3 linked regions of the Schizosaccharomyces pombe genome follow. The gene in region 1 interacts genetically with each later gene. Each region holds a gene or a part of one and is shown on either strand. Other genes may lie near its edges. The genes, in order: trm6, dhp1 and tol1.

The links.
Region 2: of trm6 (region 1) and dhp1, a mutation in one rescues a mutant of the other (synthetic rescue), as found in Schizosaccharomyces pombe (one study listed by BioGRID).
Region 3: of trm6 (region 1) and tol1, a mutation in one rescues a mutant of the other (synthetic rescue), as found in Schizosaccharomyces pombe (one study listed by BioGRID).

Annotation. Positions count from the first base shown.
Region 1 is NC_003423.3:261,512-271,190, forward strand, and holds trm6 (translation initiation factor eIF-3 gamma subunit Gcd10), read left to right. Parts: upstream 1-3,843; 5' UTR 3,844-3,862; coding exon 3,863-3,957; intron 3,958-4,093; coding exon 4,094-5,387; 3' UTR 5,388-5,718; downstream 5,719-9,679. Other genes in the region: atb2 (tubulin alpha 2), read right to left, coding at 1-563; ribosome biogenesis protein brx1, read left to right, coding at 1,252-2,139; translation elongation factor EF-Ts Tsf1, read right to left, coding at 2,404-3,303; sum2 (translation initiation inhibitor), read left to right, coding at 5,979-6,031, 6,070-6,128, 6,167-6,348, 6,457-7,443; SPOM_SPBC800.14C (uncharacterized protein), read right to left, coding at 8,196-8,678; ede1 (EPS15 repeat-containing family actin cortical patch component protein), read right to left, coding at 9,476-9,679. UniProt on the Schizosaccharomyces pombe protein: Substrate-binding subunit of tRNA (adenine-N(1)-)-methyltransferase, which catalyzes the formation of N(1)-methyladenine at position 58 (m1A58) in initiator methionyl-tRNA.
Region 2 is NC_003424.3:3,352,581-3,365,061, reverse strand, and holds dhp1 (5'-3' exoribonuclease Dhp1), read left to right. Parts: upstream 1-4,058; 5' UTR 4,059-4,169; coding exon 4,170-7,145; 3' UTR 7,146-7,312; coding exon of another isoform or gene 7,313-7,933; 3' UTR 7,934-7,982; coding exon of another isoform or gene 7,983-8,330; 3' UTR 8,331-8,918; downstream 8,919-12,481. Other genes in the region: Tf2-4 (retrotransposable element/transposon Tf2-type), read left to right, coding at 1-3,515; SPOM_SPAC26A3.11 (mitochondrial omega-amidase), read right to left, coding at 7,313-7,933, 7,983-8,330; cnt6 (centaurin ADOP ribosylation factor GTPase-activating protein), read right to left, coding at 9,447-12,077, 12,369-12,481. UniProt on the Schizosaccharomyces pombe protein: Possesses 5'->3' exoribonuclease activity. Required for the processing of nuclear mRNA and rRNA precursors. May promote the termination of transcription by RNA polymerase II. Essential for vegetative cell growth and chromosome segregation.
Region 3 is NC_003421.2:1,542,416-1,551,897, forward strand, and holds tol1 (3'(2'),5'-bisphosphate nucleotidase/inositol-1,4-bisphosphate 1-phosphatase), read left to right. Parts: upstream 1-7,488; 5' UTR 7,489-7,588; coding exon 7,589-8,650; 3' UTR 8,651-8,982; downstream 8,983-9,482. Other genes in the region: G-protein-coupled receptor Git3, read right to left, coding at 766-2,166; meiotic recombination protein Rec7, read right to left, coding at 5,473-6,225, 6,331-6,444, 6,502-6,654; zinc finger C3HC-type containing RNA export factor Rsm1, read left to right, coding at 9,279-9,482. UniProt on the Schizosaccharomyces pombe protein: Phosphatase that converts adenosine 3'-phosphate 5'-phosphosulfate (PAPS) to adenosine 5'-phosphosulfate (APS) and 3'(2')-phosphoadenosine 5'-phosphate (PAP) to AMP. May regulate the flux of sulfur in the sulfur-activation pathway by converting PAPS to APS.

The sequences.
Region 1 (9,679 bases):
ACGGAGTTATAAGGTTCAACTACAGAAGTACTAACTTGAGGAGCCGGATACACAGAAAATTGAAGCTTTGATTTTTTCGTGTATTCCATGGCCAAGCGTTCAAGTAAAAGGGCACCAAAGCCTGAACCGGTACCACCTCCAAACGAATGGAAGACGAGAAAGCCCTGAAGGCCGGAGCAATTATCGGCAATACGACGAATCTTGTCAGTTACTTCATCAACCAGCTCTTTTCCAACAGTGTAGTGACCACGAGCATAATTGTTTGATGCATCTTCCTTGCCCGTAATTAATTGCTCTGGATGGAAAAGATCACGGTATGGGCCAGTACGAACTTGGTCGATCACATTCGGTTCAAGATCTACATAAATACTTCTAGGAACGTATTTTCCTTGACCAGTTTCTGAGAAAAAAGTAGAAAACCCGCCATCACTATTTTGGGATGCAGTCTCAGGATTCATGTAACCATTTGGTTGAATACCATGTTCTAAACAATACAGTTCCCAACAAGCATTTCCGATTTGAGTTCCTGCTTGGCCAACGTGAATGGAAATGATCTCTCTCATTTCGAACGTCTTTCCAGGGTTTCTACGAGGTTTTTGGTGTTTGGTTTGTAGTGAAGTGCGGTGTACACTTAATCAAAACAATTCCTTAATAAAGAAGTCTAACGATATTTATTGATGATACGGAAGGAAGTATGCTAAACATGTAAATAGACATTAAAATAATGCATTGCTTGCAAAAAGAAGCTTACTCAGTCAGGTGTTTTAAGCTTTCTAATCATAAAAAGATTAGGATCTTCATCAATTTCACCTTTTATTTTCTCAATTTGTAAGTGAAAGATTGGATTGGTAAATTTCCATTAAAACTCAACATGTGCTCCTTTATAGAACAGGTATATCCTCATGTAAATCTTTTTAAAAGTATATAAAATATTACATAAGGGCAAGGAGAATTCCTAGCAAAAGTAGAGTTTATGCATAGCACATTATATATAACGAATTGCAACGCTCCGCCGTAATTTTTTTCTCTTCAAAAGCTCTTTTATTACGACGAAAAACTTGTCAGCAGCGTATATCTCTTGTGTCGCTACTAATTGCCCTTCCGTAATTGAGGATTTGATAGATCGAAATATAAAAACGTTGCATTTATTTGTTTCTTAGCCTTGTTCCGGCTTATACTAGAGTTACGCGGAAAAAGTTTTGATTTATTTGGAACACTGTTATTAGGCTTTTATAAAACGATTTAAAAAAAATGAGTACAGTGTATAAGTTGAAAACAAGTGAAAGGGCTCCAAAGAATGAGGATGAGGACGAGGAATACGTTCCTGTTCAAAACGGTCAAGGAAATAAGCATTCTGCCGGATTTGTTCCTATTAAACAAAAAGTCCTAGTTCTTTCCTCTAGGGGTGTCACATATCGTCAGCGACATTTGCTTAATGATTTGGTCAGCATGATGCCTCATTCAAAAAAGGACAGCAAACTAGATTCGAAAGATCGTCTTTATCAATTAAATGAGCTTGCCGAACTCTACAACTGTAATAATATTTTCTTTTTTGAGTCTAGGAGAAGAGAAGACTTGTATCTTCACATTGCTCGAGCTCCAAACGGTCCAACTGTAAAATTTCATGTTGAAAATCTTCACACCATGGATGAGTTAAATATGACTGGAAATGCTCTTAAAGGTTCCAGACCTATTCTTTCGTTTGACAAAACTTTTGATACGGCTCCTCATCTTAAAGTTGTTAAAGAGCTGTTGCAACAAACTTTCGGTATCCCCAAGGGCGCTCGTCGTAGCAAGCCCTTTATAGACCGGGTATGCACATTGACTATTGCGGATGGAAAAATTTGGTTTAGAAATTACGAAATACGCGAAAATGAGGATAAGTCGAAAGACCCTGTCACTCTGATTGAAATTGGTCCTCGCTTTGTAATGACTATCATTAATATCCTCGAAGGCTCCTTTGGTGGCCCTGTCATCTATAAAAACGATACTTTTGTCAGTAGTACGATGGTTCGTGCTGCTATTCGTAATCAAGCTGCTCAACGTTATGTTAATCGTCAAGAAAGCAAACTTGAACGTCAAGTTAGGGCTCAGCAGAACGTAATCCCAGAGGATCCTTTGGATAATGTTTTTGCTTAGTGTTATAGGTATTTAGGTAATAAAATATGGTGCATGGTGTTTGTAAAAGTTAAACTTTTATAACAATGTTTTGGTCTATAATATAAAGATCACATAAACATAATGTAGGTATTTTATAGTTTAAAAGAGTACTGGAGATATTGAAGAAGAGAAAAAATAATTTCTTTTGTCATTAACTATCGCATCTTTAGGTGTAGTATCTGTAATAAGCATAAAGCGGGGATTGGTATTAATTGAATCAAAAGTTGAAGCGAGAAAGCATCATTAATTTCCCCCTCGCTCCCAGCGAACCCATTCCAATATGGTTGACTGTCCAAGTACGTCTTTTATAGTTTTTTCGGAATCCACTAATGAACGAAATGAAAGCAGTTCAGAGGTTGAGGATGGGTCTTGAGCTACAATTTCTTTAGCGATTTGATTCGATAATCCCTTTCGGGTACTTAAGTCAGAGTTGATTTGTACCATAGATCCAATACGCCCTAATTGTTGCAATGGTGAAGATTGTTTCGCACCATGAGAAAATATACCTATGGCAGTACTAGGAACCCTTGCATTCATACAATGGAGCCTCTGTACTTGAACTTTTTCCCCTGTAAAAGAAGTCATTTTCACAATTTCTTCCTCCAAAGATACATTACTTGAAACATCTTTTTCATTGGCTTCATGATTTTTGGATACATATGCTTGGTGTTTCAAAATCTCATTTTTTAAAGTTGCTTCAACAGAATAAGAAGAATGATTTGTTGGAAGATAATGAAGGAAGGTAGAGGCGATCCTTCTAGCTAAGTCTTGAAAAGGTGTAGTTTGAGCAACAAAGTCGGATTCACAATTAATCTCGGCCATTACAGCCTTCCTCCCATCTTCACTAATGCATTGAATAATCCAACCTTCTTTAGCGGTACGATTCTTCGATTTTTCAGCAAGCTTACCACCTCGCTGAACGATCTTTTTTTTTAAAATCTCTCTAGCTAGCTCGAGGTTTCCAACACCAGCCTCTTCAACGGATTGCTTCACAAGATCCATGGATGCATTGGTTTCAGATCTCAACTTCTTTATATCAGCCAGTTTACTTGGTAATTTACTATACCATTGCCGACTTAAACTACCTGTGACACGTGTCTTCCCAAAAAACTGATGAAAATGAAGTCTCCTTTGAAAAAGCATAATTTGTTTTGTATCAAGGTATATCGTTAAAAAGGAATACGATTTTTCTGGTTTAGTAGCCCGTCTATCAAATCGGGGGTTCTGTTTTGGCTAAGAGACTGTATGGAGCTTATGAAGGCTGTGATCCAAATTGATCAGTATTGTATAAATAATTAAAAGAACTACATTTCGTTTAAAAAAAAGCACAAATTTCAAATACATAACTGATGTTGAAGTATATAGCTTGGGACAGTAAAAAAATGAATACAAAGCTGATGAATAATAATTAGAGCAGCAGGAAACTATGAGTAGTTAGAGTAAAAAACGTAATAATGTATTCTCATGGGTTAGACATCTTTCTAATGGGGCAATCTGAGGCATTTGTGTACAAGAACATTGAGATTGTTGTAAAAATCAGTTTTTCAAAGAAATCAAAGAATTTTCGTAAGAAAAGAAAAAAAACTTACTTCTTCCCACAATCTTTACAGAGAACAACATTAAGCATGAATAATTCTATTTTGAATGTATCATGTAAATTGCTTAGGCCGTGACACAACTGCTGAGGACTGCCAAGAACAATATGCTGAGGCATGCATCAACTATTTCCGAAAACAGCAGCGTTTTCATCAAGCTTCCTTCAGACAATGTTCGTTTTGTAACATTGAAACCAAACAAGTAAGTATGAGGATCTTAATTTACAATTTAAAGTACATTTTCAATGATAGCAATTGAAATTGTTTTTTGCATAAGGAGATAGAGGTGATCTAGTTTATCTCGTTCATATTGATCTTACTGACTTTATATTAAATAGTACAATTCACCTCGGAAAATTTGGTTCATTTCTCGCTGATGATTTGTTTGGAAAGCATTTTGACGAAACTTTTGAAATTTATCAACCCAAAAAAATTCGAGTTTTAAAAACAAGGGAGGTACAGTATATCGAGGAAGAAAAGAAAACGAATCAAGAACTTAATGATTGTCGAGGCAATCAGCTTATGACTCAAGAGGAGATTGATGAACTGCGCGCAAACATTAAAGCTGGTGGACTTCGTGCTGAAGAGGCCATCAAACAGTTGACTAATAGTAGTAAAACTTTTGAGCAAAAAACTTTATTTGCTCAGGAGAAATATGTTACGAGAAAAGGGGAAAAGTATCTTCAACGCTTTCAGGTTTTACGACCTTGTGTTGAAGTTGTGGCTAATTACATGATTGAACATGATCCGTATAAGATACTTGATCTTACTGCCGAGTGTATAAGCTTGATGCTTACTCTTGGAAATGTTAAACCTGGGGGTAGATATTTGGTAGTTGATGAGACTGGATGCATGTTCCTTGGTTCTCTTATTGACCGTGTTGCTGGTGATTGCAAAATAACCCTGGTCCATCCAAATGAGCAACCTAATAGCTCTTGTTTAGAGTATTGGGGGCAAGACTTTAAAGAGGATAGTTTGGTTCAAAAAGGGATTTTGAAAACTTTGAATTGGTATCAAGTTACGAATCCAACCGAGACTTTAAGTGAGTATTCGGTTGAAGATATTCCTGAATCAGAGTTGAATGAGATGAAACTTCGCCACCGTAAGCGCTATGAAACGAAGAAAGCTACATTTAACCGTTTGAAGAATACTATTGATGATTTTGAAAGTGGTAACTATGATGCTCTCTTTATACTATCTATTCACACCCCAATGTCTGTTCTTCAACATCTTCTTCCAAAGCTCGGTATATCACGTCCTTTCATGGTATACTCAACATATCAGCAAGTCTTAGTCGAGACGTATCATCAATTATCTAAATGGGATAACTTATTTGTAGAAAAGACAGCTCAAAGTACTGAAAATGACGAAAAGGTTGATCAAGGAGACGTTGCTATTGATACACAGAAAGAGAAAGTCATCATGCTGGATATTCATGAGATTCGTACACGACCTTACCAAGTCTTGCCAGAAAGGACTCATCCATTCATGACTGTTAGGGGTGATATGGGTTTCGTTTTATCTGGGATCAAGGTGTTAACTTCTGACAGCAATCTAGCTGCCGGAAGGTTTCCAAAACGTAAGGGCCAGAAAGAAACTTCTTCTGTCAAAAAAGCAAAATTGGAAAATTAGATATGAAATATTACTTTTGGAATATTTTTTTCAAGGCTACTCTATTAGATCAACAAGGGGAGTTACAATTTTGGACATAAACTCAGTTACGTTGAATTGGGAAAAGGTTTTTGTTATATTAAAAAGTTTTTTGTTTCATTCTTTAACTTAAAATTTTCATACGTATCAGAAAATGAATATGTTAGTTGGATAATGTAATTGACGGTGCGGTTTCAGGTTAACTCAATTTTGAAGAGCGTTAAAGTACAGTGTCTTTTGCTTGGCATTTTCATTCTTTTTAAAAATAGATTACTTGTAATAAGTATAAAATTAGTTACAATTTGACTGCTGCACATATACGTATTTAAGTAAAATAAGTAGTACATGGTCAGAGCAGCTGTGGATAGCCTTTTTGATCTTAAGCATGTTAATTTTAAATAAATATAAAAACTGATGAAAAAACAGCTTATAAATGACAATGTCGCATTTTGGTCTTATTTACTCGGTATAATGAACCCCATACTAGCGCTATCGCCAAGTTCGTTAATTTCGAAAGGACACCTAACCACGCTCCTTTCACCACTAAGCTTTACTTCGTCGAGTTTATAACCAATGACTGAATTTATTGGTTCTCGTATTAGTCTAATTAGCAAATCTGACATTCGGTACGTGAGAGCATTATCTTTCCTTTACTAATATTTAGTTATGTGGGCATTTTGCAGGACATCAATTCCCAGGACTCAACACTGGCTTTGAAGCATGGTAGGTTGAGTACCCAGCATTGATTACTAACAGTTTAGTCCGTTGGTGTGGTACTGAAGGAAGAAAACAAGATCCCTCTCAAGAAATCCCCCCATCAGATAATGTATTTGATTACATTGTTTTTCGTGGAAGCGATGTTAAAGATTTACGGATTGAGGAACCTGCTACTACTCCTTCTGCTCCCCCGGTTCAACCTCCTAATGATCCTGCAATTATTGGGGTATGTTACGTCTAAAGAGTGGTGGAGATTCTCATTAGTATATCTAGTATTAATTATCTTTGGCACTCTTTATATATCTGACAAGATCATGATTTTAACTATAATTAGTCTAATAGCGGGCAGTATAATTGGAACCAAGCGCAGACTGCCCAACCTCCTCAGCCTGTTCAACCTAACCCTTATGGAGCTCCATACCAACAGGCTCCTCCAGCAGGTGCACCTTACTATATGTACCCGAATGCTCCCGCTCAATTTGTACCTCCTGGAGGTTTGCCTTTGGGTACTCCCTTAGACGCATCCACACCTGCGGTCCCGTATTATGGGGCACCTGATCAACAGCAAATGGGTCAACGTCCTGAGTTTGCTCAAAATGTTTCTCAAGGGTTTGCCGGTCAGGCCCCGTACAACGTACGTCCTGGATACGGAATGCCTTCAAACCAGAAGCCTCCCAACTTTGCTCCGGGCATGCCTGCTCCTGGTCCTACCGCGGTATCTGCATCTCCGTCTCTTCAATCCATGCCGCCCACGAATGGAGTGATACCAGGTGCACAGCCCTCCATTGAAGCATCTATTGAAAAAGAAAGTACTAGTATACGGAATTCCACTGTCACAAATGACCGTGTTGTGAATACTACTGTGGATGTCTCTCAATCCCAAACCGTTGAAACATCTGGACCTTCTAAAGAAGTTCCTACAACTCAACCTGATGCTAGTGCTGCAAAGCCTCGTACCGAATTTGACTTTCAAACTGCAAATCAAAAGTTTCAATCGATGAAAGATGATTTGTTAAAAGGAAAAAATGATGAAGAAGCCGAAGAATTTTACAAGCCTAAGCAATCTTTTTTTGATAATATTAGTTGTGAAAGTAAAGAGAAGGGTATGGAAGCTGCAGATAGAAGAGCTCTACGAGATCGCGAACGTTCTTTGAACATGGAGACATTTGGCGTTGCTGGCTCTGGAAATCGCGGCCGTCGTGGACGTGGTCGTGGACGTGGTGGTAGAGGTCGTGGACGTGGATATGCAAGAAATCAATATAACCAATACAGGAATTCCAATGGCTCTCAACCTAGAGCCCAGCCTGCAAACGACCAATGAACTGCATTTCTTATAATGAGTACAGATGAAGTATCCTCGTTTCTCTAGATTGAGCTTCGTCTTCGTTTCAATCATGATGAACTCAAAATTTATGGACATGTATTTAACGACCCGAAAAAAGGTGTTCTCTTATATAAACCAAAAGGATTAGTCGTTGTTATTTGATATTTAACTTAGGAGTTTTGTTAAGTTCTTGTAGAGTGCTTTAAAAACTATACTTATCTGCTCATGTATTACGCAAGAAGAACAAGCATTGAAACGATATCCTATACCGAGATTTCGTAAAGGTATTACGAATAAATGTTAATGGGTTACATATAATTACCAAAAGGTTGAAGACTTAACCAATCCGCTAATGTTTATTCTTTTATACACCTTGATAGACCCAAAGCATCGCTGGTTGCATGACTGAACATTGAACAACCCGTGTTTTTCAACAGTCGTTTCGTTTTTGAAAAGCGTTTTGTAAAAATTTGATTCAGTCGACTTGTTTGAAGCTGACAAACTATAGAATCCAAACAACAATGTTTGAGCAGTATGAACAATTTATAAGCGAATCGTTTTAAAAATAAAAATGTGCTCTCTTAATTTTAGCATTTTTTAATAGTTTAAATTTCACGAACTTAACTACGTGATATAGTGTTTTAATAATCAGCAGTAGAAAAATTAGAACTTAATATTATTTGATCATCAACGAATATCGGAACGCAAGAGTTAACACGTAAACGATACATTACAATTATGTTTTGTTATCAAAAGTAAATTGATCCAGCGATTGAAGCTAAACCAGAGAAAAACATAAATGCGCTTCGAAATAAGTTTTTAAAACCCCATCTGTGAATTATACTGCGGAAATTTTGAGTAGCCTTTACATCTTTAAGTATTAGATCTGGATTTAACGTTTGTAAAGAGTTAATGTCCTTTTTCATAAACAAAAGCGTGAAAGGAATAATACATAGTCCAGATAAAGCCGATATAGCATACAATTTTGAAGAGAATATACTTCTCTTCCGTTCCGAATAAGACAAATAGCCCTGAACCAGAGCATTGGCAATGGCTAAAAATGGGAAGCTCTTTTTGCCCATACTATATATGTATTTCCATTGAGCCAGAGCGACGTCTGCAGGACCGATTAAAATAGCAGGCAACACTTGACTGGTAATGTAAGCAATGGCTCCTGCACTTCCGCAAGGAGTAAGAATTCCGACAGATTGAAACAAATAGACAAGACTCATCGTGAATTAGTGAAATTGAGTGAAAATTGGTGTGGCTGAAGGTGTATGTTAAGTACAATGTATATTCCAACGTTTAATTTCCTCTACCAATTTATATGTAACTAAGAAACTGTTTATAGTAATATGCTACTATTGCCATAGTGGCCACCTGGGTATACAAGCAATATGAAATTAAGACTTTGATATTGATTTAACAGAAGCCTTTCTCATGATTTTATACCATCCTGAAATCCTACTAAAAGATACGGTATATCAGAGGCTGTTTTCTACGCTTTGGTTTAATAGCTTATACCCCGAAATGTGCTAAATTACCAGATTTATTTGGTAAGTATAAGAACTATTTACATGATTGCGAGGCTAAAGCATTGACAATGGTATGCTAGCCCAGCGGAGTACTACCCTAGAAGTATTTCAAGCGGTTGCGATTTCCAAATGTGTAATATCCTGTCTAACGATCCTTTGGAAACATGATTTAGCATATACCCACAACATGGAGCATATCCATCGTAACGTTTGACCTTTGTTAACAGCCGGGATTAATTTATCCGAATTTTTTTCTATACCCTATCTCTTAAACGATAGGTATGTTTCTCATCTCTGTAGCCCTTAACAGATATCGTTCAATTGTCCTACATAGATTAAACCAGTTAAACTTGATTTCCAACCATTATACGTTAACACTTTTTTATAAAATTTGTCAAGTCAAATCACAACTGACACCTTCATGTGGAAAAATACCAAAATGATCTCAGCAATAAAAGGATTAAGAAAAACGAGTGTTAAGCTTTATCGGCTACTTAATGATGCCCAGCATGTTCTTCTTCATCAGTAGAGCTATTGTCATCATCCTTTATTTCGGCTGCTTGAAGATTTGCGAATTGATTATCAAATTCATCATCGACGTTAAAAGCATCATTAGCCAGAGATCCTGAGACAACTTGTTGTACCGGTAACTCGTCGTCGTCGTTATCCGATTCGTTCGCTGTATCAAAATCAAAGGG
Region 2 (12,481 bases), on another chromosome or scaffold:
GGATGCTGCCATATTCCTTAAGGAAATTAAAGGAAAGAAATTACTGGAAATCAGAAATCAGTGAAATTTATGACTTTTTAGAGGACAAAAGAACAGCCTCGTATGGTAAAACTCACAAGCGTTTTCAACTGCAAAATAAAAATCTAGGAAAAGAGTCCCTTTCAAAGAAAAATAACACCACTAATAGCAGAAACCTGAGGAAGACAAATGTTTCGAGAATAGAATACTCATCTAACAAATTCCTAAATCATACTAGGAAACGTTACGAAATGGTATTACAAGCTGAACTTCCAGACTTCAAGTGCTCAATACCCTGTCTAATCGATACGGGCGCTCAAGCAAATATTATAACAGAAGAAACTGTTCGAGCACATAAACTGCCTACCAGACCCTGGTCAAAAAGTGTGATATATGGTGGAGTTTATCCAAATAAGATTAATCGCAAAACAATAAAACTTAACATAAGTCTAAATGGAATATCAATCAAAACAGAATTCTTGGTTGTAAAGAAATTTTCGCATCCAGCTGCTATCTCCTTCACAACATTATATGACAATAACATTGAAATATCTAGCAGTAAACACACGCTCTCTCAAATGAACAAAGTTTCAAATATTGTCAAGGAACCTGAGTTACCAGATATCTATAAAGAATTCAAAGACATTACTGCAGAAACCAATACGGAAAAGCTACCAAAGCCAATAAAAGGGTTAGAATTTGAAGTTGAACTAACTCAAGAAAACTACAGATTACCTATCAGAAATTACCCGCTACCACCGGGAAAAATGCAAGCTATGAATGATGAAATTAATCAAGGATTAAAAAGTGGAATTATACGAGAATCTAAAGCCATTAACGCCTGTCCAGTAATGTTCGTTCCGAAAAAGGAAGGCACCTTGAGAATGGTGGTTGACTACAAACCTTTAAATAAGTATGTCAAACCCAATATATATCCGTTACCACTTATTGAACAATTACTTGCTAAAATACAAGGTTCTACAATTTTTACTAAACTTGACCTCAAAAGTGCCTATCACTTGATACGAGTAAGAAAAGGAGATGAACATAAACTTGCTTTTCGCTGTCCTCGTGGAGTTTTTGAATATCTAGTAATGCCTTATGGCATATCTACAGCTCCAGCACATTTTCAATACTTTATCAATACAATACTTGGTGAAGCCAAAGAATCACATGTAGTATGTTATATGGATGATATTTTAATTCATTCAAAATCGGAATCTGAACATGTAAAACATGTTAAAGACGTTCTACAGAAATTGAAAAATGCGAACTTAATTATCAATCAAGCAAAATGTGAATTTCACCAATCACAAGTAAAATTTATAGGGTATCACATTTCGGAAAAAGGATTTACGCCTTGTCAAGAAAATATAGACAAAGTCTTACAATGGAAGCAACCTAAGAATCGTAAAGAATTACGACAATTTCTAGGTTCTGTCAATTATCTTAGGAAATTCATTCCAAAGACATCACAATTAACACATCCACTCAATAATCTTTTGAAAAAGGATGTACGCTGGAAATGGACACCAACACAAACCCAAGCGATAGAAAACATTAAACAATGTTTAGTTTCTCCTCCGGTGCTACGACACTTTGATTTCAGTAAAAAGATTCTACTGGAAACTGATGCTTCAGATGTCGCTGTAGGAGCCGTATTGTCTCAAAAACATGATGATGATAAATACTATCCTGTTGGATACTATTCAGCAAAGATGTCTAAAGCACAATTAAATTATAGCGTATCGGACAAAGAAATGCTTGCAATCATTAAGTCTCTCAAACATTGGAGACACTATTTAGAATCCACTATCGAACCTTTCAAAATTTTAACAGACCATCGAAACTTAATTGGTCGCATTACTAACGAATCCGAGCCTGAAAACAAACGTTTAGCTCGTTGGCAATTATTTTTACAAGACTTCAACTTTGAAATTAACTACAGACCTGGATCAGCAAATCACATAGCTGATGCCTTATCCAGAATTGTTGACGAAACAGAACCAATTCCAAAAGATTCAGAAGACAATAGTATCAACTTTGTTAATCAAATCTCGATAACCGATGATTTTAAAAACCAAGTGGTTACAGAATATACGAATGATACAAAATTGTTGAATTTACTAAACAATGAAGACAAACGAGTGGAAGAGAATATCCAACTCAAAGATGGCTTACTAATTAACAGTAAAGACCAAATCTTATTACCTAATGATACTCAGCTGACTAGGACAATTATTAAAAAGTATCATGAAGAAGGTAAATTGATTCATCCAGGCATTGAACTTCTTACAAACATTATATTACGTAGATTTACGTGGAAAGGAATAAGAAAACAAATACAAGAATATGTACAGAACTGCCATACATGTCAAATAAACAAATCTAGGAATCATAAACCTTATGGACCTTTACAACCAATTCCCCCATCAGAAAGACCTTGGGAATCTTTATCAATGGATTTTATTACAGCTTTACCAGAATCATCTGGTTATAATGCACTTTTCGTGGTAGTTGACCGATTTTCAAAAATGGCAATCTTAGTACCTTGTACGAAATCCATTACAGCAGAGCAAACAGCTCGAATGTTTGATCAACGAGTTATTGCTTATTTCGGCAATCCAAAAGAAATCATTGCAGATAATGATCATATTTTTACTTCCCAAACGTGGAAAGATTTCGCACATAAATATAATTTCGTTATGAAATTTTCGTTACCATACAGACCACAAACTGATGGACAAACTGAGCGTACAAACCAAACTGTGGAGAAATTACTAAGATGTGTATGTAGCACACATCCAAATACATGGGTAGATCATATATCCCTAGTGCAACAATCTTACAACAATGCGATACATTCAGCAACTCAAATGACACCTTTTGAGATAGTACATCGCTATTCACCAGCTTTATCACCTTTAGAGTTACCTAGCTTTAGTGACAAAACTGACGAAAACTCTCAGGAAACGATCCAAGTATTTCAAACAGTTAAAGAACACTTGAATACAAACAACATAAAGATGAAAAAGTATTTCGATATGAAAATACAAGAAATTGAAGAATTTCAACCTGGAGACCTAGTTATGGTCAAAAGAACGAAAACAGGTTTTCTTCATAAATCCAATAAATTAGCACCTAGTTTTGCAGGACCGTTCTATGTGTTACAGAAGTCGGGTCCAAACAACTATGAATTGGATCTTCCAGATTCAATCAAGCACATGTTTTCATCTACTTTTCATGTTTCTCACCTAGAAAAGTATCGACATAATTCAGAACTCAATTACGCTACCATTGATGAGTCTGATATTGGAACAATTCTTCATATCCTAGAACATAAAAACAGAGAACAAGTACTCTACTTAAATGTCAAGTACATTTCGAATCTAAATCCGAGTACTATTATGTCAGGATGGACTACATTAGCTACAGCGCTACAAGCGGACAAAGCAATTGTCAATGATTATATTAAAAACAATAATCTAAATATCTGAGAACATATGACTTATCCTCAGATTTACATAGAAAATCTTGGGGAGGGCAATGTCAGCAATACTACACTACGCTATAATACACTACGTTGAGTATCACTATATGTCACATGTTCTAATTATATATCGTACCATGTATGATACGATATGGAGATTGATCTTAATGATAATCTATTAAGATCAATATTATCTGAATACTATAAATAGAGCTACTGCTGAACCTCGTTCCTCAGTTCAGTTATGAGCTATATTAGTGATAGGTAACATTATAACCCAGTTAATACAATACCTATACTCAGTTGCTACTTATACAACCTGTGTATTGTAATATAATAGATCACAAGGAAAACTCACCGCAGTTCTACGTATCCTTAAATCAGATACCAAACTGCGTAGCTTACACTTAAGAGACTAGATTTTAACTATTGTATAGCGAGTACGTTAGTAATTTCCAATTTACTCCAATGTGCGTTAAAAAATTTAGGTAGGACTGCGGAGACTACGCTAGATCTAGATTAAAATACCTAAATATTAAATCTTCAACTTATACTACACTCGTAGTCTTTAGTATCTAAAATTTACCAATTTGGGCTTTTTTGAAGCATTTGGTTTGGAGAAGATTTATTCGATTGAGTATTTTCTCCTTTACACCAAAAAATGGGTGTTCCAGCACTTTTCCGCCTTTTGTCGAGGAAATTCGCAAAGGTCATTACACCTGTTATTGAGGCTCCTACTGAAAAGCTTCCAGATGGTACTGAAATTGAACCAGATTTAAGTCTTCCCAATCCAAACGGAGTGGAATGCGACAACTTGTATTTGGATATGAATGGTATTGTTCATCCTTGTTCCCATCCTGAAGATCGCCCCGCTCCAGAGACTGAAGACGAGATGATGGTTGCTGTCTTTGAATACACGGATCGTATTCTTGCCATGGTTCGTCCTCGTCAGTTATTGTTCATTGCAATCGATGGCGTGGCTCCTAGAGCCAAAATGAATCAGCAGAGATCACGTCGTTTTCGTTCTTCTCGTGAAGCAGCTCTCAAAGAAGAAGAATTACAAGCCTTCATTGAGGAGGCAAAACAACAGGGAATTCCCATCGACGAAAACGCTACGAAGAAAAAATCTTGGGACAGTAATTGCATTACCCCCGGCACACCTTTCATGGACACTTTGGCCAAGTCTCTTCGTTACTACATAATAAATAAACTAAATAGTGATCCGTGCTGGAGAAATGTCAGATTTATACTTTCTGACGCCTCGGTTCCTGGTGAAGGTGAGCATAAGATCATGGAATTTATTCGATCTCAACGAGTGAAACCAGAGTATGATCCAAATACACACCACGTTGTTTACGGTTTAGATGCAGACCTAATTATGCTTGGTTTGGCTACTCATGAACCCCATTTTCGTGTATTGCGTGAAGATGTCTTCTTTCAACAAGGAAGTACTAAAAAGACAAAGGAAGAGCGTCTTGGCATCAAGAGACTTGATGATGTTTCTGAGACCAATAAGGTTCCTGTAAAAAAACCATTTATATGGCTCAACGTTAGCATTTTGAGGGAGTATCTAGAAGTGGAACTTTATGTCCCCAATTTACCTTTTCCATTTGACTTAGAACGTGCGATTGACGACTGGGTCTTCTTTATCTTTTTTGTGGGTAATGATTTTCTTCCTCATTTGCCTAGTTTAGATATTCGTGATGGTGCCGTAGAGCGGTTGACTGAAATATGGCGAGCTAGTCTTCCGCACATGGGTGGTTATCTTACTTTGGATGGTTCTGTTAATTTAGCTCGTGCTGAAGTCATTCTGAGTGCTGTAGGTAACCAGGAAGATGATATTTTTAAGCGTCTTAAACAGCAAGAAGATCGTCGTAACGAAAACTATAGACGCCGTCAACAACGCGAGTCAAATCAGGAATCAGAATCTTATGTTGACAACGTCGTAATTCAGCGTTCAGTTGAGACGCAATCGACAGAAGTTGTTACCTCTTCTAAATCAACTTCTGTTGATACTAAACCGCCAAAGAAAACTCAAAAAATTGACGCTCCGGCTCCAGTGGATTTGGTTAATTTGTCTGAAAAAACTTCAAATCGATCTCTAGGCGCTACTAATAGAGAATTAATTAATAATCGCGCTGCTAACCGTCTTGGACTTTCTAGGGAAGCAGCTGCTGTTTCTTCAGTTAACAAATTGGCGGCCTCTGCATTGAAAGCTCAGTTGGTTTCAAATGAGACACTACAAAATGTTCCTTTGGAAGACAGCATAGCTTCATCCAGTGCATATGAAGATACCGATAGTATTGAATCTAGTACCCCTGTTGTACATCCAATAGACACAAAAGTTTCAAATGTGGGTCAGAAGAGAAAGGCCCCAGATTCGACTGAAGAAAATGAAAATACTGATACAGTCCGCCTGTATGAGCCTGGATACCGCGAACGGTATTATGAACAAAAATTCCACATTTCACCCGATGAACCAGAAAAAATTCGTGAAGCTGTTAAACATTATGTTCATGGATTGTGCTGGGTTCTTTTGTATTATTATCAAGGCTGTCCATCTTGGACCTGGTATTATCCATATCATTATGCTCCTTTTGCCGCTGATTTCAAAGATTTGGCCTCCATAGATGTAAAATTTGAACTAAATCAACCCTTCAAGCCTTACGAACAATTACTAGGCGTTTTACCTGCTGCTAGTAAAAATAATTTACCTGAAAAATTGCAAACTCTTATGACTGATGAAAACTCTGAAATTATTGACTTTTACCCGGAAAATTTTACTATTGATTTAAACGGGAAAAAATTTGAATGGCAGGGAGTTGCTCTTTTACCATTTATAGATGAAAATCGGCTTTTGAATGCTGTATCAAAAATCTATCCTCAACTTACCGAGGAAGAGTCAAAAAGAAATGAGGATGGTTCTACTTTATTATTTATTTCTGAACATCATCCAATGTTTAGCGAACTTGTCAAACAACTTTACTCCAAGAAACGTCAAGGTAAACCACTTAAGTTATCCGGAAAGATGGCACATGGATTGTTTGGCAAAGTTAACACCAATGATTCCGTAATTCCCAATGTATCCGTTCAATGCCCAATTGATGTTACATCCGCTGACGCCCTTCAGAAGTATGGAAGCATAGATGATAATCAATCTATAAGTCTTGTGTTTGAAGTACCTAAATCGCATTTCGTACATAAATCCATGCTTTTAAGGGGAGTGAAAATGCCGAACAGGGTGTTAACCCCAGAAGATATCAACCAAGTACGTGCAGAGAGGAGCTTTTCTTCCCGCCGAAACAATGGTAATTCGTATCGTGGAGGACACCAAAGTTATGGTGTCCGACGCTCTTACCAATCGCAAAGTTACAGTAGTCGACAGAGCTACACTGGAGTTACTAATGGTTTTGCAAACGGTGGAGTTCAACCTCCTTGGTCTGGTAATGGCAATTTTCCTCGTTCTAATGCAAGCTATAACTCTCGCGGCGGCCACGAAGGATACGGCGGGCGCTCGAGAGGTGGTGGTTATTCGAATGGACCGCCAGCTGGTAACCACTATAGTAGTAATCGCGGAAAGGGTTACGGCTATCAGCGAGAATCCTATAACAATAATAACAGGAATGGCTACTATTAATACATTTAAGTTTTCTTAGTACAATTTTGAAAGCGGGTTTGGGATATTGGAGATAAATAATATATCTGATTATTTGAATTTCATTGGCACATTGCATAATTAGTTATGCAATTCAGTTACAAAATGCATGTTGATAACATAAAATTATACTCAACAACTATACCGATCTATTCCTCTTTCTTAAGAGCAGGTAATACTTCTGAATAAACATCAAAGCGGCGTTGAGTATAGATAGGAACGCTGTTTCGAGCGGTAGACATGACAGAGGGATCAATATCTGCGTAAACGATAGACGGTTTTTCATCAGTAGTAGCAATAACTTTTCCGAAAGGGTCTACAACAGTAGAATGTCCCCATGAATGATAGTCAGCGTTCATATCTCTAGCAGGGGCACAGCAAGCAACGAACATCTCATTATCAACTGCTCGGGCTCGTGCAAGTAGTTCCCAATGTAAAGGGCCTGTGGACAAATTAAATGCTCCAGGGTAAATCATCACACTACAGCCATTTCTAGCTGCTATCATAGCGAGTTCCGGAAATCGTATATCGTAACAAATACCCAAACCAAACTTCCCGTATTCAGTGTCAACCATAGTCATGGCGTCGCCAGGTGAAAGACTATCAGATTCGCGGAAGCTAACTCCACCAGGAATGTCAATATCGAATAAATGAATTTTCCGATGAACGGCTATCAATTTTCCAGAAGGATCAAACACCATTGCAGTGTTGTATAATTTGCCATCCTTGCGTTCAGGAATAGAACCGCCAAATAAGTAAGTCTTAGTATCCTACAGTACCGTTAGTCTCACATAATCAACGAAAATTAAATTAACAAACCTTTGCCATAGAGGATAAAGCTTGGTAAGAAGGAGATGATTCCTCTATAGGTTCAGCATACTGATTAAAGTAACCAGTACCATATGGTGAATTGAAAATTTCTGGTAATACAATGACATTAGAACCGTTTTTAGCGGCTTCCAATACTTTTAAACGAGCGAGTTGTAAATTTTCGCTCTTGTCTTTGGTATTGGCAAGCTGAACCAAGCCAATACGAAAAGCACGAAAATCTTTAGGAACCAGAGATGAAGCTGAGACAGACATGATGTTCCTTGTATAGCAAAAATTTAATGAAGGAAAAAAGGATCTTGTGCCTTTTTGAACGAGTCCAAAAAATTTACTGTTCATATAAACAATCACCGACTTGAAATTTTAGGTGAAGGAAGAGGAATGAGTAGAAAGCAAAGATACGAGGGAAGATGTCCTGATTTGTAGGCTAGTCTCAGAATATCTAGCTTGCGATAATTTTGAGCTCCAAAATATTATATTCCTGAAATCTCAATGTAACTTATTAAGCACGTGGCTAGCGAAATCCTCCAATCCAAATTACACCTTGTTATCAAAAAGAAATTTAGCAAGGTGATCAAACTTCCATGTCTTTGATAAGAAGAATGTCGACATCAAACTAGTTTTCAATCTATTGTAAATCTAAAGAAGAAAAAGGGATTTACATTCAAGCAGCAACTACACAAATAGAAATCGTTGTTTGAATGTTACGGAAGGCAAGACCAAAAAAATTGTTTTTGTTTATCTACAAGTTACAAAAGAATGATATTTATTACTGTGTCAACTAGTTTATAGGTAATGATAATATCGTCTGTCATTTTTAGAAAAAGGGGATTCAATTACTATAGATATTCAGTTGTTCCGAATGTGTTGAAAAATAAAATCTTAAGCGTCTTCGTTTCGCAAAAGAAGAAAATAAATGTTATAATAGCTCGAATGAACTGTTTGGCATACATGTTAATTTCACGTATATTGAATATTGATCTTGTTCAATAACAAATGAACTTATGGCATGCATAAGATCCATCAATCGAGAAGAGCCTAAAAATCGCATTTGAATGCGTATTTAAAGAAAGAATAGCTGTATCCTTAGTCAAAAAATTTTGTATTGAAAGAAAAAAGATTAAGAGTATAATGAAAATAAAGAGGAAAAGAAAGTTCGAAAACCAAAAGATGACCAAGAAAATAATGAGTAAATTACGTTGTTTAGCAAACAACCAAAATAAATTGCAATAATAAATTATAGAATTAACACATGATCCGAATAAGAGTAAAGCTGTGGAGATTAATAAGCTCTCCATTCAAATTCGTTGCGCTTCAAATCATGGAATTCACGGAAATCCGAAATGAAATGACACCTGAATAGATATTGAAATAGATGGTAAAAAGAAAGAATGAATTCGATTGGAAAAATGAACATAAAAGATGATTTGATGCAAAAAGTAAAAATGCTTCTCCCTACTCTTTCAAATACTTTGTAAATTGTTTTTGCGAAAGATATGATTGCATATCTGGACTTACATGCTCCGACAACTGTTCGGAGTCAGGAAGCAATAACCCATTCATGAATAAAAGTTCCAAGAGATGTAACTTACTAGTATCACGAGTAACCGCTTTTAAAAACACCACTCCATTCTCTTCAAAATTTGGTTTGGCGGCTAAACCTAGTAATATTTTGGAGATTTTATTTTGCTCCAAACCCTCCAATAAAGTAGCATCAGCATCTACTCCTGCAAAGTCAATGAATGCGTGTTCCACATACTTCTTCTGGGCAAATGCCAACTTCACCTGCGCATTATGCTCCGGCTTTGGCTTCAGCGAAGGATTAGAAAGTCCTTTTTCATAAACACGGTTGACAGCAGCATTACCAATTTTGCACAAAAGGACTTTCGATTGCTGCGATAACGAGTCGAGTAGCAAAGAACGTGTTTTCGATATATGAGTACCTAAAGACCTATGTATACCACTGCATTCAATACAAAGAACTACCGGTATATTGATCGAGCACCAAGTAACATCTTTAACCGAACCGCAATCTGCACACACACTGTTAGAGACATCGGTCTTTCGGAGCATTTGAATGAAAATGTTTGCACTGGCATGGTATCTCTCTAACTGTTCCATATGCATAGTACCCGAATTGTCTGATCGAAAAAATTGTTGAAGGTTCCACGAGCCTTTTCTACTGAAAGCCTTCTTAATACCCGAACCGCTTAATTTTCGGCTGATAGGCGTGGTCTCAAAACTCGTAGAAAATAGTGGAAATACCTTAGAGGGTCGTCTCACACTTGCACTCAACGGCGTTGCAACCCTAGAAAGTTGGAAAGACGAAATCTTTGCTGCTTCGCATATAGCTTCAATCCACGAGTCCATCTCTTCAGCAGACGTGGCTTGATAAAGTCGCTTCAATTTCGGAGTTACAACTTCGAAACAAAACCTCCTTCCCTGTTTGCGAACTTTATCAGCAGATGCATGTTTTAACGAAATGGATGAAACATTAGATTTTACGGAATCTTTCCAGTTTGCATACTCCCATAAAGAACCGTTCTCAACAACAATCCAGTGCTTGTGCCAAGCGGCTTTACTAACCATAGCTAGATCTGTACCAAGTTCGGTAGCACCAAATACTAAGAGTAGACCCTCTTTAAAAATCTTGTCAGGGCTTGCACTACCCCCATTAGAAATGCACTTTCCCTTTATCTCCGTTGTAAAATTGCTTGTCTGGCTAATATCATCTGCAGAGGCTGCCATGCGACGATTTGGCATAGGACTCTGTATTTCATGTAAAGGGAAAGAAGGGGAAATCGGAGATGGTGAAGGCGGTGCCATGGACTTTGGACGACCGCTAGTTTGAATTACCTGGGAACGATGCATCTCTCTGCCCTTGTCACGTCTGGTTGTACTCCATTTTGTTTTTTCAAGTTTTAAATTGAGTTGCTGAAGATTCGGAAGAACACTATTCATCAAATTACTAAAAAGTGCAATATGGTCATATTGGCGATGAAAGTACTGCAAAAAAATACCGTTAATATCATTAATAATGGAACCATCGTGAAGGTCTTGCATAAAACAATAGTAATCATATCGTTGTAAGGCAAACGTTTTCTCTTTTTGAAAAAATTTAGAGTCTCCTCCCTTTTTGTCCTTTTTAGCTGATAGATAACGCGACAAAGATCCATAAAAGCTTTTGCTTTGTTCATCAAATTCAAGTCGTCTATCATCAATTGGCTTAATGAAGCTTGAGTAAATGTTATGAAATGGCTCATATAAAAGATTAATTAAATCATAATTAAGTTTTTGTATAAAGGTGGCATGAATGTCCATAGCCTTGGTTAAATAACTGTCCAGAAGTATGTCCATATTCATACTGGTGCTATTAGAAGCTTCCGAAAGTGTCTCTGACAATTTCATAACAGCAACTTGCGATGCATCGTATGCATCACTTAATTGGACAATACGTTTCATTATTTTTTTGCAATAATACTTCATAAGAGATGATTTTTGCTCAAGCTCATGCAACATAGATCGGAATGACGGTCCATCCTCATAATTCTCTGGGAATATAACGGTCTTGGTATTAATCAATGAAAGCTCCGTCTTCGCTTCCGGAGATTGAGGAGGTTGGGTTTGTACCGTCTGGCTAGTAGTTAGCGGCGACGTGACACGCTGGCTTTCCGAAAAAAATGTATCATCCATAGAATCACCGCAACGAGATACGGTGTAGTAGCTAAATTTTGAGATACGTTCAAGAGTACAGTCTTCAGTAGAGTAAACGGCTATGCAAGAATAGTTTTTGCATTCATACTCCAGAAGTTTACCCGAAGGAGGTGACCACTCCCAATGATATCTGATATTGGCCGCATTTGAATCTGGTAAAAAAATTTCATGTACATTATCCGAAGAAATTAAGTCTGCATATTTCAACTTCTGAGCAAAAAAAGAATCAAACGATTGAAGCGATTCGCAATGGATGAGTACAAGTACTTTCCTCTCCTTCTGCAACTGGAGAACACGATCACTGAATAAAAAGTAGAAGTCTAGCTTGTTTTGAAAACTAAACTTAGGGAGGCACTCTTTTGATGTAGAATCCTAATTTTTACAAAGTTAGTAAAATCGTATATGGAAATAAGAACATCTTCGAGCAACACGAATGCACAATGGGCTTGCTCCAGTTGCTCCTTTTGGATAAAATCATAGACTATATCTGTTTGTCTTGTAGTTATTGTCATTCATTAGTCTGTGTTATCCAGTTCAAAAGAATGGACTTATAAATAGATGTAAGAGTGATAACTATTTTTTGACAAAAGAATCGACACTATTAAATGTGTCTATTTTAATATTTTACTCAATGTTCAGATACTCTTAGCTTTTATATCATACCAAAACCATGTCCACCAATTTTCCTGATGAGCTAGATATTGACTCTAGAAACCCATCTTCTCGGGCGCGGAATGAAATGGTAGAGCCATTGTCTAATTTGGAAACATCAACAG
Region 3 (9,482 bases), on another chromosome or scaffold:
GCAATTTTACAAATCGTATAGGAAGAAAAGCGATTTATCCACAACAAAAGAATAGCTAATGGTGAATGACTATTCGCACATCGACATATACAAAATAAGAACATAAACGTATTGCTATGCACAATCCATCCATTTTATGTATTGAGGAAATATAGTATTGGGGACATAAATTTTGAATATAGTTTTGAAGACAGATGCTTAATGCAAGCAGTAAAATGTAAGAGCATCTGAAAAATGAAAACGAGTGAATGATAGTTGGTAAAGCTGAACATAAACATTCTATATAAGGAAGAATTGTTTAGGCGACTAAGCGTTCCAAAAATGAATTCCCCGAGATGAATAGAAAACTGTCATAGACACAGTACATATATATACATCGATAATTGTGAGCGGCCTTATCAATTTGAAGCAGCCAAGCTTTAAACCATCTTCCAATCCGAGCCTTTTGCCAAGTTAAGTAGTGCCAAAATTTAATACTTCGAAATAAATTCTGGGAAGCGAAAATTAAAGTATGACATATATTAGAGGTGATGCAAAAATGGGAGATATTAAAATATTAGTTGGTTTACCACAGTTGTTTCCATTCACATTCCATTGTCATTCACTGGATGGCTTTAACAAAAAAGGAAGACATATGAATGCAAAGGCTATGAGAAAATTTTAAGAAGTAAAGTGATAATAAAATCGTCATAAAAAGAAATTATAATACAAGAAGAGGAGCTTGTGAGACTTCACCATAAACAAAAATAAAAAGAACAAATCCTTCTATTTTTCCTCACCAAATTTACCCCGCCACCATTTTAAAGTCAACTCCTTTATTTGATCCCAATAACTTTTACTCGAATCTCTTTCCTTCAAATACGTGTAGCCACGATAACAAATCCAAATAAAATCTGACAAGGCAATAAAGATGGCAACGAAGTTGTCTGCAAAGACTGCAACAAATGCGAATCGTTTGCATGAACCAGAGCAGTGCAACGGTTGGGCAAGTATAACGATAATCTGTATTTGAGGGAGAATCCACATAAAGATAAAAATTGCAGGATAAGCAAACAAAAACTTAGACTGACTTAAAATGCGTTTCCGTTGTTTAAGGAGGGGATCATCTTGCATATCATTTCCATATGCAGCCAAAACACTAGAAGCACCATCTTCGTCACTAGTCAATGGACTACTGAGTTTAAAACTCGTGTGATCTTCAAGGCCATTTGTGCGATTTGGACTATCCCTAAAATCCTGTTCGAAATGTATTCCTGATTGATTTAGATTAGCAGGAGTAGACTGCGAACCAGGAGGCAAATTAGGATGCACAGAGGATAGTAACGGTCTCGAATAGGGAGAAGGTTGAGACTGCGAGGAGTAAATGGATTGAGAATTAGATGGAGTATATGTTAAAGTACTGTTGGTGTCGGGAAATGGTGGAAGAGCTACTTGATCCGGAGCGGTAGGATACGAATCAATGACATTTAAAGTATCAAACACATTTGTTTGTTGATGTGAGTATTTCTTGAAACGTTTGATTTTCCTTCTGATCGAGATGAACATGCAAGTTTGTAAAGCAATAATTGCAATACTTAGCGCATAATCAAATGACCAATTCAAACCAAACATGAATCGTACAGGGGTATAGGGAAGGTAGCATCGGGTTTGTAAATTGACAAATGTATTTCTTTTATTGGTAAAAGCAAGTCCGCCAATAGTTAAAGGAATTACAAATGACAGTGTAAACACAGTATGCCGAAAACGATATAGACCCCTTCGTTCAGTATCAACATGGGGGAAAAGCACCAAAAGAGCATTATGCAATATGTTGATAAAAATCCAATAATCAGTCATCCGAACAAGTACCAAAAGAAAAAATCCAATTGTAAAGCATCGATGTTTTGGAGCCCAAAAAAAAGGATCGCTTAATGCTAGACATGGATGAATCATTTGCACAATGGAACGAATAAACAATACAGAAAAAAGAGCGATATGAAATTGTTCACGTATTGTTCGCCGACGAGACCATCGCCAGAAGATAGCAATTAAGCTGAAAACGATAGATATGGCTGAAGCTATAATGACCATGATTCTCAGGTTAGCTAACTCTCTGCGAGAGACAATGATGATGGAACTCGTACTCGTGGCATCGGAAACATTAAACGTATAATCTAAATGAAGCATGAGCAACCTTGTTCCTTATTACAAAGTTTAAACTTCTCTTCAAGAAGACAGGAAAAAAAAAGAGAGGAGAGGAGGTGAGAAAGTAAAAAACAAGAAAAGCAATATCAGAACGAAAAACAAAAAAAAAGACAAAAAAAAAAGGAATACTCCAAAGACAAATCTATGACTTCAGAAATGTTCAAATAGACAAACAAGAAAGCAAAACAGAATTTTCAGCCACTTGGGTAATCAGTCCTATTACCCTTAAGAAGTGCAAAAAATAGTATATCTCGTATATCCAATTACCCAAGATTGCATATCTGACCCTCGATTTTCTATAAATTGCTTCGTTCGCGAATATAAACAGTCTCTTCAAGTTGATGTAAAAAACTTAGCAAACTGGCAATATAGAAGGAGCTCTCTAAACTAAACGAGTTTGTTTCGAATATGAATTTGAATTCCCGTACTTTTATTTTTGTTTCTGTTTTCTTTTTTCCAAAAACAAGCTTCTCGTCTTTACTTTTCAATTAACTCAACTATTCTTTCGAAAGTTGTAGACACACGATTAAACTGTTAAAGGTAAAAGTTGAAATAGTAAATCTACTGCTTTTTCCTTTAATCGTGGCCGACGAAGCAGCTCAAAAGTGATAAACGAATGCAACCAGGAAAGCCGGACGCAAAACGGTGCCGACGATTATTAATAAAGCGCAGTCCCGTCTCGACACTCTTGGCAAGAAGAAAAGCGCAATTGACGTGAACAACCAACGATGTATTGTGCTTATAAAGAAAGCACTAGTGAAGTCACTTAGAGCTCAAAGCCACTTATGCACGTTTTGCAAGGCTCTTAATAGCGTGGCGAACCTTCTTAAGGATATTGAAGAATAGGGAAATCGGAGGCGGTATGGCTTGCAATTAACGCCGTACAGTGAATAAAGCGGTACTAAATCAAATCGGTGAAATTTACCGATAATTAAGGAAAAGACAAATCAATTGAAGGCGCCGTGGTTTGGGTTGGCTGATGGAGTTGGCTTGATTATAAGTAATGATGGCGGAGAGTTGCCGCCTTTGCTGTTGTGTATGAGTGTGTAGTGAATATGCACAAATATACCTCAACGACTAATGGATAAGGTGTTATAGCAAGTACAGTAGTTAAGTACCAATGCGGGATTTTTCTGAAAAAATATGCAAGCACACGGGCTTGACAGAAACACAAGAGGAGACAAATAAACCAAAGTCTCCGCACCTTAAGTCCACAGAAGAAGAATAAAAAAAAAGATCGCAATTGAATTATGTGAGGGGGCCCAGGCGTCAATAGTACAGAGTCGATTGACTAAGTAGATTTAAGATCACAAGCTGTAGAGCAAATCAGAAATTTGCACCTACGCAGAGACAATGAACAATTGTAATTTCAGAAAAAAAAATATCGACAACGATTCAAATTCCGAGTAATTTTCTAGCAAGACTATTGAAGAAAAAATTTCCCTAATCCCTTGATGAGCCTTGTCGCACTAACACAATATCGGCGATGCTTTCACACTCCTAGATGTGCTACCACCAACCATTATAACTTATGAAAAAAATTTGTAGTATCGCTGTAAACGAAATTTTTGTGTAAGAATGACGAGAGTTGTTTTTGCACAGACAAACGAGGTTCGGACGATCGGCCTATTTTTTAAGTACGATAGTGATTAGTATAGTATATCGTGAGGAGCAAATACAATCGCATAAAAAAAATCAGGGTGAAAAGAATCATTTCAGAGTGCGTTAATGAGAAAGTCCTCGTTATAAAAGAAAAAAAGGAACCGATGATTTAAAGTTATTGATGGTTTTAAAAAACAGCGTTTATTTTTACAGTGTTTAAAGTCAAGTCAATATTAGGCACAAGAAGAGGTCACACTTTATTTTCAAAAGAAAATGGATGAAATGCAACTCCATGCGTTGCGATAAGCGTTAAACACCAATCTAGGAAGCAGTCCCTCAACAGAAATGAAGCGAAAATCGAATGATGGTGAGAATAGAATAATAAAACGAGCCCCGGTAAATTGAAAGTTGATAGAATCAAGTTTCAATTAGGGGTAATGAAAACGTGCTTAAAAATAGGGAGTAATGTTGTAGTTACCAAAATGAACAATTCGGACCAGACCAATAAATATTGTCGAAATAAAACAAGGAGTGTTAAATTTTATTATTATGTCTTTATTCTCCTTGGAAACCGGTTCGTCCACGTGAAGAGAATTCTATTAGCATTGTCGAAACCGTTTGATCCGGTTATGCCTTCATATCTTTGAAAACATTTCCGCCAATTCCACCAAGTGAAAATCACAATATCGTTAGTCGGTATTGTCTTTAGGTTTACTAGCGGGGGCGTTTTTGTTTTGAGGAAAAAAGAATATTCTCTGGTTTCCATCTACCTTAAGTGCCGATTAGGCAGATAAGCTAGATTAAGTGAAATGGGAAACGGGATTCATTTTCCATTGACAACACTTTTAAACATTATTTGATAATTCGCATGCAACCCTTCAAAGTCGATTCGACATTTTAAGGTTTACTTCACGGACATTGAAATCATTGTGAAGCTTTGTAGACTGTTGTCTCTCTCGGAAGTACCCAAAAAAAAAAAAAAAATCCTTTTTACACTCATAACGTTCTAGCTGTTTCATCCCTTTAAAAAATATCATGTTTTTTTTTTGGTGCTCGGAACATTTACTTTCTCCACTTGGTTCGTCTATTTTTGAAGTTAAACTAACTATTTGACCATTTTCGTACTTAATGTCATGAACTCCTCTCGTGGATTGTTAAGTCAATTATCAAAACCAACCACCAACTCAATTTTAACCGTTGTAACCTGACCCATTATTAACACTAGTATTCATGCTGTACTTGCGGCAATTCCCCCATCAAAAAGTTTTCAGAGTTGTCTTTTGATACCGATTATGTGTCGTGGTGGAGGCTTACACCCCAAGGATCGGAACGGGATCTTCTCAATTTGATTTTAATGCTCTGCATGGACAAGCCTAAGGGAAAAGAGTCATGCAACAAGTAGAGAAATTTATTTCAACATTGTTGTGTTGGCGGTTTCTGTTTGCTAATCCTCAGCAACGATCATATGCAGTTGAGATCTCGACCAACTTTTCGTTAAATAATGTCAAAATTTGCAACAAATGTTTTATCACGGTACTCGAAGAATGTGAACTTAATGAAGTTTCTCATTTGGTTGCCAAATTGTGGTCACACATCAATTTTGTCGAAATAACCATTCCGATCCTGATTTCGTTCCATTTTTACTACTTTTTTAAATTTGGGATTAAGTTGAATTGGTCTGTCTTCCTACATCTTGTTCCATACCCGTTCCAAACTTTGACATAATTGGATGAAGCTGTCTTGTTTTAGATAGAATAATACCTTGGAGCGTAATTGCTTTTCCTCTTCAGTAAGTTCTGTTGGTAGGATTTGTGAAGTCGTTGGGGGTGATGGAATCAAATTTGCGTATGCTTGGTTCTCCGGTTGAGCAACCCACGAAGCCTGTGTCTGAGAGTTCAGCGGCGTAGCAGCAATAATGGGGTATTGTGAGTTTGCACCGTAAGAGTAGGCATTACGATTGGGATTAAAAGGTGATGAAGTTATCACCACGTTTTCATCCCAAGTGGGTTGTTGTGACGCAGTAATACTTTCAATTGATGTATCACTTCGAAGGGGCATTTGGGTCATGCCCGCATCCCCGCGGAATCGCTTAAGCGGTGGTGTATTGGAGAAGATTTCAGCATTTGGCATGACATGCTGCAGTGGTGCTGGATTGACATAGTTTGTGCTATTGTTCACAGCAGTTGTTGCTGTTTGGGTCATGGGGATATAACTCGGTTGTAATAAAAGATTTGGCTGTTGCGCCGATGACTTGTTATATGCATTGTTCATCAACGAAAGTTCCTGTGAGTTATTAGATTGACTTTGGGAGTTATTGAATTGCTTCTTCTCAGAGGAAGACTTTGCATCTTTGAACACCAGGCCTAGCTTCTCAAATTCAACTTTGGCTTTCATATAATGCACGTCAGATGGGAATTTCACTTGAAATCTTTTCATCACCTAAATTTATTAACAACAAAATACGCTTCATCAACACTCCATTTTTTTTTTTAAAAAAAGAGGCCTCAATGTGATTTTGAATAAATCTGCTTTTGTTTTACTTACATTATTAGTGAAAGCACGAATATTCATACACGGAGCGCGTGAAAGCAGAGTTAGACATTTTTCCTTCGTTCCCGGTATCAATTGGTGCCAGAGATCTAACAAGTTTATACTTTGCTGTTTGTTTGTTAAAAATATTGAATTTTTCTAGCAATATGGTTTCATGTCGCGTACAATTAATTCTTCGTGTTGACGAATTTGAAGCAATCCAGACGTTAATGAGAGTGTAAAACCTCCATCTGAATAATGTGACCAGTTGATATGGGAGGAATCTGTAGTATACGAATCCTCAGCTACAGAGTACTTAACAATTGGGAAAATGTTCATGTTTGTTTATGTTTGAATATGAGAAGACGCGTTAGACTGAACCTCATTTATCTGATAACGCAGTACGTTCCGTCACGGTGTATTACTTTTGTTTACATTTATGAGTTGACCTGAAAACGACTAGACTTTATGGAATGTAAGTCTTGTTATCACAATATATTACATATGATTGTAATTTGCCATAAGGAAACTATTTCTTCAATCTGTATTGAGGAATATCTGATTGTTCATTAATTTCTCAAGTCTCTTCAAACAACAGTATTTTGAGAGAAAGGAAATTTTATGAGCAGTTTCTTCTTTTACTAATCAATCCCTTTAAAATATTTTTATGCCTTCATTTCATCCTTGGTATCTACACTTATATAAAAATTTTAGGCATATTTGCCTGTTAAAGGGAAACGCAAGATACGGACTTGCACTGCTTTTAAATTATGCGTTTTTTCCATCAGAATGATATTTTTTTTCCTTAATATTATATTTCATCCTTTCTCCATAGGTTGGAAGGGTTGGCGAACTGCTTTGCCAATACCCAGACTTTAGTAGTGTCGTTTGTATAATTAATGAAAACCTAAAATGTGGACATGGAGAAACCTGTTTTAAAATATTAACATGCTCTTTTCACAATAGAAACTACATAATCATTATTGTTTAATAAAAGTTAGCATAACCTGCGATTTTACAAAAAAAAAAGGTCTTTTAGTCAGAAAAAATGAAACTCTTTCTCGTTTCATAACAATTTTTTAGTTCTTTCTTCTATTTGAACAATATTTTTGGTTAAATGTGGAAACGTCAATTAAACACCGTATATGCTGATTTCATATTCTTCGCACTTCCACTGCCCAGGTTTACAAAAATTTCCAAACTCCGTGTTAACAGGAAATTTGGTGCTAAAATCATACCTCCATTAATAAATAACATTAGAAAATTATTTACCATGAGCTTTGATGCCGAAAAACAATTAGCTATTGCTGCTGTGCGCAGAGCTAGCTATTTGACCGAAAAAGTGTTTAATCAACTTATCAAGGAGAAGAGTGCTGCTGGGGCACTTACTAAAGATGATAAATCACCTGTGACTATTGGCGATTTTGGTGCTCAAGCTATCGTAATCTCTATGTTAAAAGATGCATTTCCCAATGATCCAATTGTTGGCGAAGAGGATTCCGACTTTTTGAGAGAAAACACCCAAACCTGCTCTCGTGTTTGGGAATTAGTTCAAGAAACTATCCAACATGCTACTGAATACAAAGAGCTTGGTCAAATCAAGTCAGCTGAAGAAATGATGAGCATTATTGACCAAGGATCATATCACGGTGGTCGCAATGGTCGTATGTGGACTTTGGATCCCATTGATGGAACTAAAGGATTTCTACGTGGTGCCCAGTATGCTATTTGTTTAGCTTTGATTGAGAATGGAAAACCTGTGGTAAGTGCCATTGGATGCCCTAATCTTCCATATGACTTTAATCAGCCCGAGACAAGTCCCAAAGGTATCATAATGTCCGCTGTTCGTAACCATGGTTGCTTCCAGTATTCTCTCCATAACGAAAAATTAGAACCAGTTCAAGTGCACATGCAAGATGTTCAAAACACCAAGGATTCAAAATTTTGCGAAGGAGTAGAGGCTGGTCATTCAATGCAAGGAACTCAAGAAGAAATTGCAAAGTACTTAGGGATTACTCGTGGACCTACCAAGATGGATTCTCAAGCCAAATACGCTAGTCTTGCTCGTGGTGATGGTGACATCTACCTTCGTTTACCAACCAAAATGACATTTGAAGAAAAAATTTGGGATCATGCTGGTGGTTCTCTTCTTGTTGAAGAGGCTGGTGGTGTTGTTTCTGATATGTTTGGCAAACCTTTGGACTTTGGTGTAGGAAGAACTCTTAAGAACAATAACGGTGTTATAGCCGCCTACAAAGGTATTTTTGAAAAGGTAATTGAAGCTACTGCAGCTGTAACATCTAAAGACCCTCACTTTCAAAAGGTCGCCCAATAATCTGTCCGAAATATTCTAGCTTTAGGGCTTTATTTAGATTTTTCAGCATGTTAGCATATGCGTTATCGAGGATTCTACAAAAAATGTAATCTTGAAAATATTTACTTGCCATAAGCTTATGATTAGCTCCTTTTAATTAGATCAAAACAATTAACAACATGTTATATGTCTTTATGGATGACATATTTTATTTACCTTAAATTATGGATTATATAGTAGCAATGTTTAATTGTTCAGGTATAGTTACACAGGTCAGTATGAATAGGTTAATTGTATAGTTATTTTCCATATTACCTTACTATTTTACTTTTAGTATTCTCGTAAATTTACTATACGGTGGTGTTGATCAATTTCAAGGAATTTATGCCTTCAAGTGTGGTTTGGCTAATAACATGGACATGTTTTCTTAAAACGGTAAAACTTTTTAACAATTTTGATGAAACGAATATTGAGCTCATGATCCAAATTGGTATTTTGAGATCCTTCCTAAGTACTTTGACTTGCGCTACCTTGATTCCTGCTGAAAACGTTTGGAAAAGGCATGTAATAAAAGTTTTCTATGATAATATTTGAGACACCACATTTTTCGAAAAGAAATATAATTTTTTAACTCTTAGAACGGGTGATAATGTCATTTCCTACCGATATGGAGACAAATGAAATTTTGGATCAGTTAGACAAAATTGACGAAAGAAATGAAGATATTCTTTTAAAGTCTCTAAAAGCTTCTAAATGCACATATAAGCCCTGGAGCAGAGAAGAGTTTTTGAGACGATTGTTGACTTATAGAAGTCGGTGGGCTTATGTAAACGATCCTCAAATTGGTGAGATA